Mus musculus: one gene and its partner. The protein of the gene in region 1 purifies or fractionates together with the protein of each later gene. This does not show direct contact. Links are inferred from orthologs where the notes say so. Each region holds a gene or a part of one and is shown in the gene's direction. Other genes may lie near its edges.

Region 1 (3,908 bases):
ACAGCATAATAACATTCACCTGAGTTTAATATAAACTAAGCAATGTTCAGGTTTAGAGTTTAACAATGCCAGTTTAACCCCAGAATCAAATGACTTCATCTCCAAAGATCCAGAGGCTGGCTAGCTAGTGTCCTTTGCATTATCCGAGCAGGAAGACTGAAGTTCTGGGGGGGTCAAAGGACTCACAAGGTCACTCAGCTAGTGTGTTAGTGGCACAGATGGTCACACTCAGGGTGCACCTCACTCATTCTCACCCACCATGTCCTACGGCCTTGGTGTGGGAGGTCATTTAGTGTTCACAAAGGGAGACTTTCCTGAAGCATTACTCTTGGGTCTCTCAAAGCAAGCTTGTCTACAGACTGGTGAGAGAGATAGTTACATCCTGTTTGTTTCTTTGTCTACTGGGAAGCAGCCAGTGTGGGTGATTAAAGCTAAGGAACAAGTCTCTTTACTCCCTTCTCCTCTACCTTATCATTGACCTGCATTCCTCTGGGGACACTTCCTGGGGGATGTGTTTTAATCTAGAAATGTCACAAAAACTGTTGTCCAGTGCTCACAGGCATCCAAAGCTTTTAATATGAAACTCAACACTTTCTGGTGCTCTCTATTCTGAGCTACTTGGGAACCGTGCCTTCCAGATGATGGCCATGGAGGGTCAGGGTATGTGGAAGTGAGGAGTGAAACACTGCTGCCGAGGGCCATGAGGTAGACCAGTACTCTACAGGCCTCACTGATGACAGTTGGCATCTCTGATGAGAAGCTGAGTATAGGAACTTTCCAGCTGACCTTTAACCCTTCCCTTCTATGAAGTTTTAGTAAAACGCCATGCATTAAATGCTAACTCTTATAGAGAACAATCTGTAGGATAAAGGTGTGTGTGTGTGTGTGTGTGTGTGTGTGTGTGTGTCTAGCATGTGGAAGATATTGCTAATAGCACTGCATGTATCATGTAGTCATATAGCCTGGAAAGTGGTATGAACATTGTTAATCAGAAGACCTTTTTCACATGCCCATTTCTGTGCATGGCATAATCTCCATTCCTTCTCTCCTCCTTTCCCTACTTTTTCTTCCCTTTATGCCAGTGTTAAGAAAATAGAAAAGGAACAAGGTTGTCCAGAAAGAGGTCCGATAACTATGGGGTGCACAGTAGCTTGCTTCTCCTGAGTGTGTCCTGTTGTAGGTATAGCTTCTGCCTTCCCCATCTCCTGTGACATGTGCTTTTCCCACCCATGACTTCCTTGCTCTATCTTTCTAAATGTAGAGCTGTAGGGGACTGGGCAGATGGTTCAACAGTGAAGCACTCATGACACAAGCGTGAGAATCGGGGCTAGGATCCCCACAACTCACGTAAAAGCCACATAGCTATAGCAGCTTGCCTGGAATCCCATGGCACAAGAGACTGAGATGGGGTGCCCCAGAGCAAGCTGGCTATCCTGACCAGCAGAAATAATGAGCTCCAGATCCAGCAAGAGATGCTCTGTCGTGTAACATGGAGGGTGATCAAGTAGACACATGATACGGAACATGGTCTTCCACAGACACACGTGAACATGCATCAGCACTTATGCAAACATGCATCCATACCCACATGTACATTATACACACACATATACATACACACACATACCCTTCCCCCCTCAAAACAGTAAAGGGCCAATGAGATGGCTCAGTGAATAAAATAAGGTACTTGCTGCCAAGACTGACACCCTGCATCCAGTTTCTACTAATTCATATTGTGGAAAAACAGAACTGACCCTTACCAGTTGTCTGCTGACCTCTCTATGCACACAGTGGCATGTGGACCAACCCTGATTTTTCTTTTTTTAATAATTTAAGAAAATGTAGACCAACAGCTCCAATTTCTGATTGTGGCCCAACTCTATAGCTCGAGATTTGAACATGTAGAATCCATCATGCTTTGGAACCATTGAAATCCATTCTCTCTATGCAAAAGGAACCACTGTTGACTCAGGCAGAAGTTAAGCTTCCTCTGTCCCCCTTTCTTACCACTTGTCTCTCTGTCCCACAGAGGAAGCTCACCAGTGTGGGAAGGGCCTTCTCATCCACTGCCAGGCCGGCGTGTCCCGATCCGCCACCATCGTCATCGCCTACTTGATGAAGCACACACGGATGACCATGACTGACGCTTACAAATTCGTCAAAGGCAAACGACCAATTATTTCCCCGAACCTCAACTTCATGGGGCAGTTGCTGGAATTTGAGGAAGACCTAAACAACGGCGTGACGCCAAGAATCCTTACACCAAAGCTCATGGGCATGGAGACAGTTGTGTGACAACGGGCAGGACGGAAAGGGCTGTGCTCTCTCAGGAGACGAAAAGGAGGGAAGGTGGATTCTAGCTTGTCGCTCTTCTTTCCTTTCCTTTTCTTTTCTCTTCTCTTCTTTTCTTTTCTTTTCTTTTTCTTCTTTTCTTTCTCTTTCTTTCTCTCTTTTTTTTTAAGGTTGGGAGTGTTTGTGAAAGTAAACAAACTTGTCTAAAGACTCTATTTTTAATAAGTGTAAGAAGACTGTAACTTTTGATGCGAATGAGACCCACTTCTCTTAAACTGGTATTGCAGTTAGGTTAAAGAGGTCTTTTTTGTTTTGTTTTGTTTTTTTAAGCCAACAAATAAAAATATTATAAAACTTGTTTCTTCCCAGTTTCCCTTGTAAGCTTATTGTAGAGTTTTGAGTAAATAGTCTGTGCGGGCTCATAGACCGAAGATACCACCCTTCAATTACAAAGAACCAAAAGGAAATGGAAAAGACTCCAGACCTGGAACTGACTGCACAACCATGTCAAAAGCAAACCCTGCCAAACCGTGCCCAGTTGTGCTCACTGGTGTGAAGAAAGGGCCGGCAAGCTCAGTGGACTCGGCTCGCCTCACACCTTCTCTGGGGAGACAGGCTAGTGTCGGTTTTGTGTGTTCTATGCTCCGGATATCTTTTCCCCTTCTGTGGGTCTGAGAGAACTTTTTGTTTGTTTGTTTGTTTGTTTGTTTGGCAGAAGGAAACTGACCATTCTACCATGTGCCTTTGCTGGCACTCGTGCAATAAAAATGGTGTTTGGAGTGTGCAGCTGAGGGAGAGCTGGCAGCTGAGTGAGGAGTGGCGTTGGAGACAGGCATTCAACAGTACCAGTGGCTTCCCCTCCCTCCTTTCTCCTTCTCCCCCCCCCCTTTCTTCCTCATCCCCTTTTATTTGTCTTTCTTTTGATTTGATTCTGGTTACAGTGCCATACACCTTGTTACATATGTATATCAGAATGTAAAAAAACAAAACAAAAAAAAAAACAAAAATTTATTTAAAAAATATTTTTCGCAAAAAAAAAATATCCTTGGTGTGTTTTTGTTGATGGTGTAAGAATTTATTTTCATTATATAAATGAACCTCGTTTGGGGATGTGTCATTCTTTGTACGTGCCTGTCTTCTCTGGTTAGGCTCATACCTCTCAGCACGGGTTTGTATAAAGAGATGGGGATGAGAGTGTAAAGCGGGAGGGACCGCTCACGGAGGGAGGCTAAGGATCCCAGCACTGATGCGGTCCTCTGCTTCCTCCCCATCCTCTTTCTATGAGACAGCAGACTCATGATTGAGCAGCTTCCGCCAGACCTGATAACCAAATCACAGCCAAGCCGAGGATTTAGAATATACAGTTGTCTCCCTGGTAACTACATGTAAATATCAGTGACAATCTGCCTTGTATGGTTTTCACAGTCCCGTCTCAATTGACACTAGCTCACATGACACTTTTTAGGGACATTCACCCTATAGTAACAATAGTACAAGCTGCAAAAGATGTACTCTTCCAGTGTTTTTCCCAGTCAGTAGAAATCAGCTCTGTGTGCACACGGACTTTGACAGTGCTGGCTATTCAGCCCACAGACAGTTGGAAGTGGTGTGGGAAG
Region 2 (3,652 bases), on another chromosome or scaffold:
CTGAAGGGATGGACTGCTGCCAAGAGAAACAGAATGGCCTCTGAAACATCATTGTCTAAGGCAGTTTCAGGAGGGAGTGTGGTCTGAGATAGGCCAGAACCCAAGCCCCTCCCCTCTCCATGCTTCCCTTCCTTGGACAGCCTGTCTCACAGGCTCTGCTGCCCAGCTGTGAGAGAGGTCAGATTGATTCATTTAGAGAGAGACCTGTAAATCTCAGGTAGCTTTAGTAGGAACATTGATTTCAGTTTGCTTATGTGATATTTATTTTCTGTTTAATCATTTATCTCATAGGTTAAATCATTTGTCATAATTTTATTTTGAATTATAATAGGAAAACATAGATTATGTTGATTTAATGAACCATGATCATACTTTTTAAGATTCAGAGTATAAGAGTTTTTGTTAATGGATTTAGAAATCCAAACCTTATTTAAGTCTTATTCCAAAATGTTTCTGCGGATCCTCTAGGATGGCCTAGTTACTTACTTGTTCATAGATATGTTAGAACTTTCCTTTGCATGAGAGGACTGTATGTATTATGACTATGAAGCATTTTAGTTGTATTTTCCTCAAGAGAATCCTTAGATATTGATCAATGGAATAAAGTTATTGAACAGCTAGGAACACCATCCGCAGAGTTCATGAAGAAACTTCAGCCAACTGTAAGGAATTATGTGGAAAACAGACCAAAGTACCCTGGAATCAAGTTTGAAGAGCTCTTTCCAGATTGGATATTTCCGTCAGAATCTGAGAGAGACAAAATAAAAAGTAAGGCACTCTTTTATCTCGCACTTGTTTCTCTAGCTCTTAACTCTAAAGTCCGTGTATGTCAAGAGGTGCAGTAATGGAAACCCTGAAATAGAGGCTCTCAGAGTCTGACATTCAAAGGCACCACAGAGGGAATGCTTTAAAGGACAAAAGTCTTGACCTTGCTAAAACATTGTCACTAAATACCCAGAGCAGTCTAGAAACCCCTTAGGTTACGCAGTGAGTGGGAAAACACTTGCCTGCAAGTGTGAGGATTTGAGCTTGTCTCCCCAGCATGACTCAAAGCACAAGTGTGGCTGCCTGTGCCTGTGACCCACACTCTGGGGTGGAGAGCAGTGGTCCTGGAAGCTTGGTGACAGCCAGTCTAGGGGAACTGGGTGCTTCTAGTTCAGTGAGAGACCCTGTTATAACAGAAGGAGGGGAAGAACAATAAGGCAAGACAGCCAACTTCCCCTCTAGCCTCAGAGTACATCTTACACTCAAACATTCATGTGCATATATCATACACGTTCACGCACACACATAAGACCCATATTGTGATGTCACCAATCTGAATTCAAAACAATTTCAAATATAAAGAATACTTCAATAAGGATTCTAGACAGAAACCATTGAGTGTGGCCCAGTGGGAAAGGCCCTCACTGTCCTAATGTGTCCTTCCTAGAATGTGGTCACCTGAGAAAAAACAATAGCTTTGCTGTCCTCCACACCGGGGTGAGCAGCACCTTGGTCACAAAAACCCCAGCTTTTCTTTGTGAACTTTTCATTGCTGAGACCTTGCTGAGGCTTCTTATTACGTTAATTAGCTTCTTGATTTTTTTCTTGGCTACTAACCTCTAGATTAAAAACAAAAGCACTGTTTACAGCTAGGCAAAGCAGTGGTCCCTGTGAGGCTATACTCTGGGACTGTGGGTTACTCAGAAGGTTTTAAATTTGTTCTAATGTAACACAAAGAATAATACTCCTGATACTTCATGTCCATACTCCTGGCAACACCATCCTAAGAGAGGTGCTTGCTACCTACTGTACTGTGGCTTCATAGCTTCAGGTCATCTGGACACTGGTCTGAGGTTACCTAGAACCCCCACCTCACATGCTAAAAGCCTGGTTTGTAATAGTGGCCATTGGACTTTTAAAGGTTGTGAGCCGTGTTGATCTTGAAACTCTTAAACATTTTCTGAAGTCAGCATGTCTCTTTACTGTCCATACGCTCACATTTGATTCTTTATTGTGTGGCTTCCTCTTTTCCACGGTAGCAACATAAGTACATCATTTGTTTACATCCTAGCAAGTCAAGCCAGAGATCTGTTATCAAAAATGCTAGTGATTGATCCAGACAAGCGGATCTCTGTGGACGAAGCCTTGCGCCACCCGTATATTACTGTTTGGTATGACCCCGCTGAAGCAGAAGCGGTAAGTTCTCTGGAAAAAACGTCTGCGTAGAGGGCTCACTTTAAAATACTGGGCCCACTGTCTTTGGATCTTCCTTCTGTTGGTCCAGAATGGCTACATGAGGATAGCAAGTTGTTACTTTTAGGGCCCTGACTTCAAAAATAGAAACCTTGCTACCTGAGGCCTAGGTTGGCCCCTCTCTTGGCACTGCTGCTGGGGCTGAAGCTGCAGAGCTCAGGAGTGCACTGTGGTGGATGTTGGCCTTATGTTTATAAAGCTGATGTGTAATAATAACTTAGGAAGCATCTGCTCATGCCTGGCACTGGGCCATGAGCTTTGCTTACATCTTAGTCAGAGCCTCAAGTCAGAGAACCTAAGCAGCCTTCCCAAGTGACACATTAGCTCACATCTCCCCACCACATCTGGGCATCTCACCCTCTTAAGTTTTCTTCACAGCATCCCTTGTAGATGTCCTTTAGTTATGAGTAAAATACTAACACAGTGGGTGTTCACTTCATGCCAGCTGGGGAGCACTGTTGTAGCCTGGGTATAGATGTAACTGCCATTGTACTGTTGTGTTACATCAAAAGAATCAGGTTTATGAGCAGCCAGGCTATGGAATGTTCCATTCGCGAGCTGCTGGCTTGGGCATGGGTGTCCTGTCAGGAAGAACTGTGAACTGGAAGTATATTCTAGGAAAGTACCACACCTCCCTCAGCCCCCACGCAGTTGACCTCAGAGCTGCCTATTGTTAGTAAGTTTGTGATTCCATTTGGGCTATGTCTGCAGAACATTTTGAGGTCATGTGATGTACTGGCTAGTTTTGTGTCAACTTGACACAGGCTGCAGGTATCACAGAGAAAGGAGCTTCAGTTGAGGAAATGCCTCCATGAGATCCAACTGTAAGGCATTTTCTCAATTGTTGATCAAGGGGGAAAGGCCCCTTGTGGGTGGTGCCATCTCTGGGCTGGTAGTCTTGGGTTCTATAAGAGAGCAGGCTGAGCAAGCCAGGGGAAGCAAGCCAGTAAGGAACATCCCTCCATGGCCTCTGCATCAGCTCCTGCTTTCTGACCTGCTTGAGTTCCAGTCCTGACTTCCTTGGTGATGAACAAGCAGTATGGAATTGTAAGCTGAATAAACCCTTTCCTCCCCAACTTGCTTTTTGGTCATGATGTTTGTGCAGGAATAGAAACCCTGACTAAGACATGTGATGATTGAGATTTATTATTGATGCTTGCTTTTGGTTAACTTTCTGTAACTGTTTTTTAAACTGATAAAATATTCTTTCAAAATAAACATCTAGAACATGTTAACTAAACTAAATCCATAAGTAGACTCGAAACATTCTAAGTAGCGTTATCTTCCGAGCATGGCCCATTAGTTTTGAGCTATCGACCTGACATGTCGTTTCAGCCACCACCTCAAATTTATGATGCCCAGTTGGAAGAAAGAGAGCATGCGATTGAAGAGTGGAAAGGTAAGACCGGTCCTT

The links.
Region 2: the proteins of Dusp10 (region 1) and Mapk9 purify together in Homo sapiens (affinity purification with mass spectrometry; 3 studies listed by BioGRID and IntAct, with this or other methods). This does not show direct contact. The link is inferred for Mus musculus from reciprocal best matches to the Homo sapiens genes DUSP10 and MAPK9.

Annotation. Positions count from the first base shown.
Region 1 is NC_000067.6:184,072,229-184,076,136, forward strand, and holds the end of Dusp10 (dual specificity protein phosphatase 10), read left to right. Parts: intron 1-2,029; coding exon 2,030-2,295; 3' UTR 2,296-3,408; downstream 3,409-3,908. UniProt on the Homo sapiens protein: Protein phosphatase involved in the inactivation of MAP kinases. Has a specificity for the MAPK11/MAPK12/MAPK13/MAPK14 subfamily. It preferably dephosphorylates p38.
Region 2 is NC_000077.6:49,877,646-49,881,297, forward strand, and holds part of Mapk9 (mitogen-activated protein kinase 9), read left to right. Parts: intron 1-585; coding exon 586-768; intron 769-2,056; coding exon 2,057-2,181; intron 2,182-3,573; coding exon 3,574-3,637; intron 3,638-3,652. UniProt on the Homo sapiens protein: Serine/threonine-protein kinase involved in various processes such as cell proliferation, differentiation, migration, transformation and programmed cell death.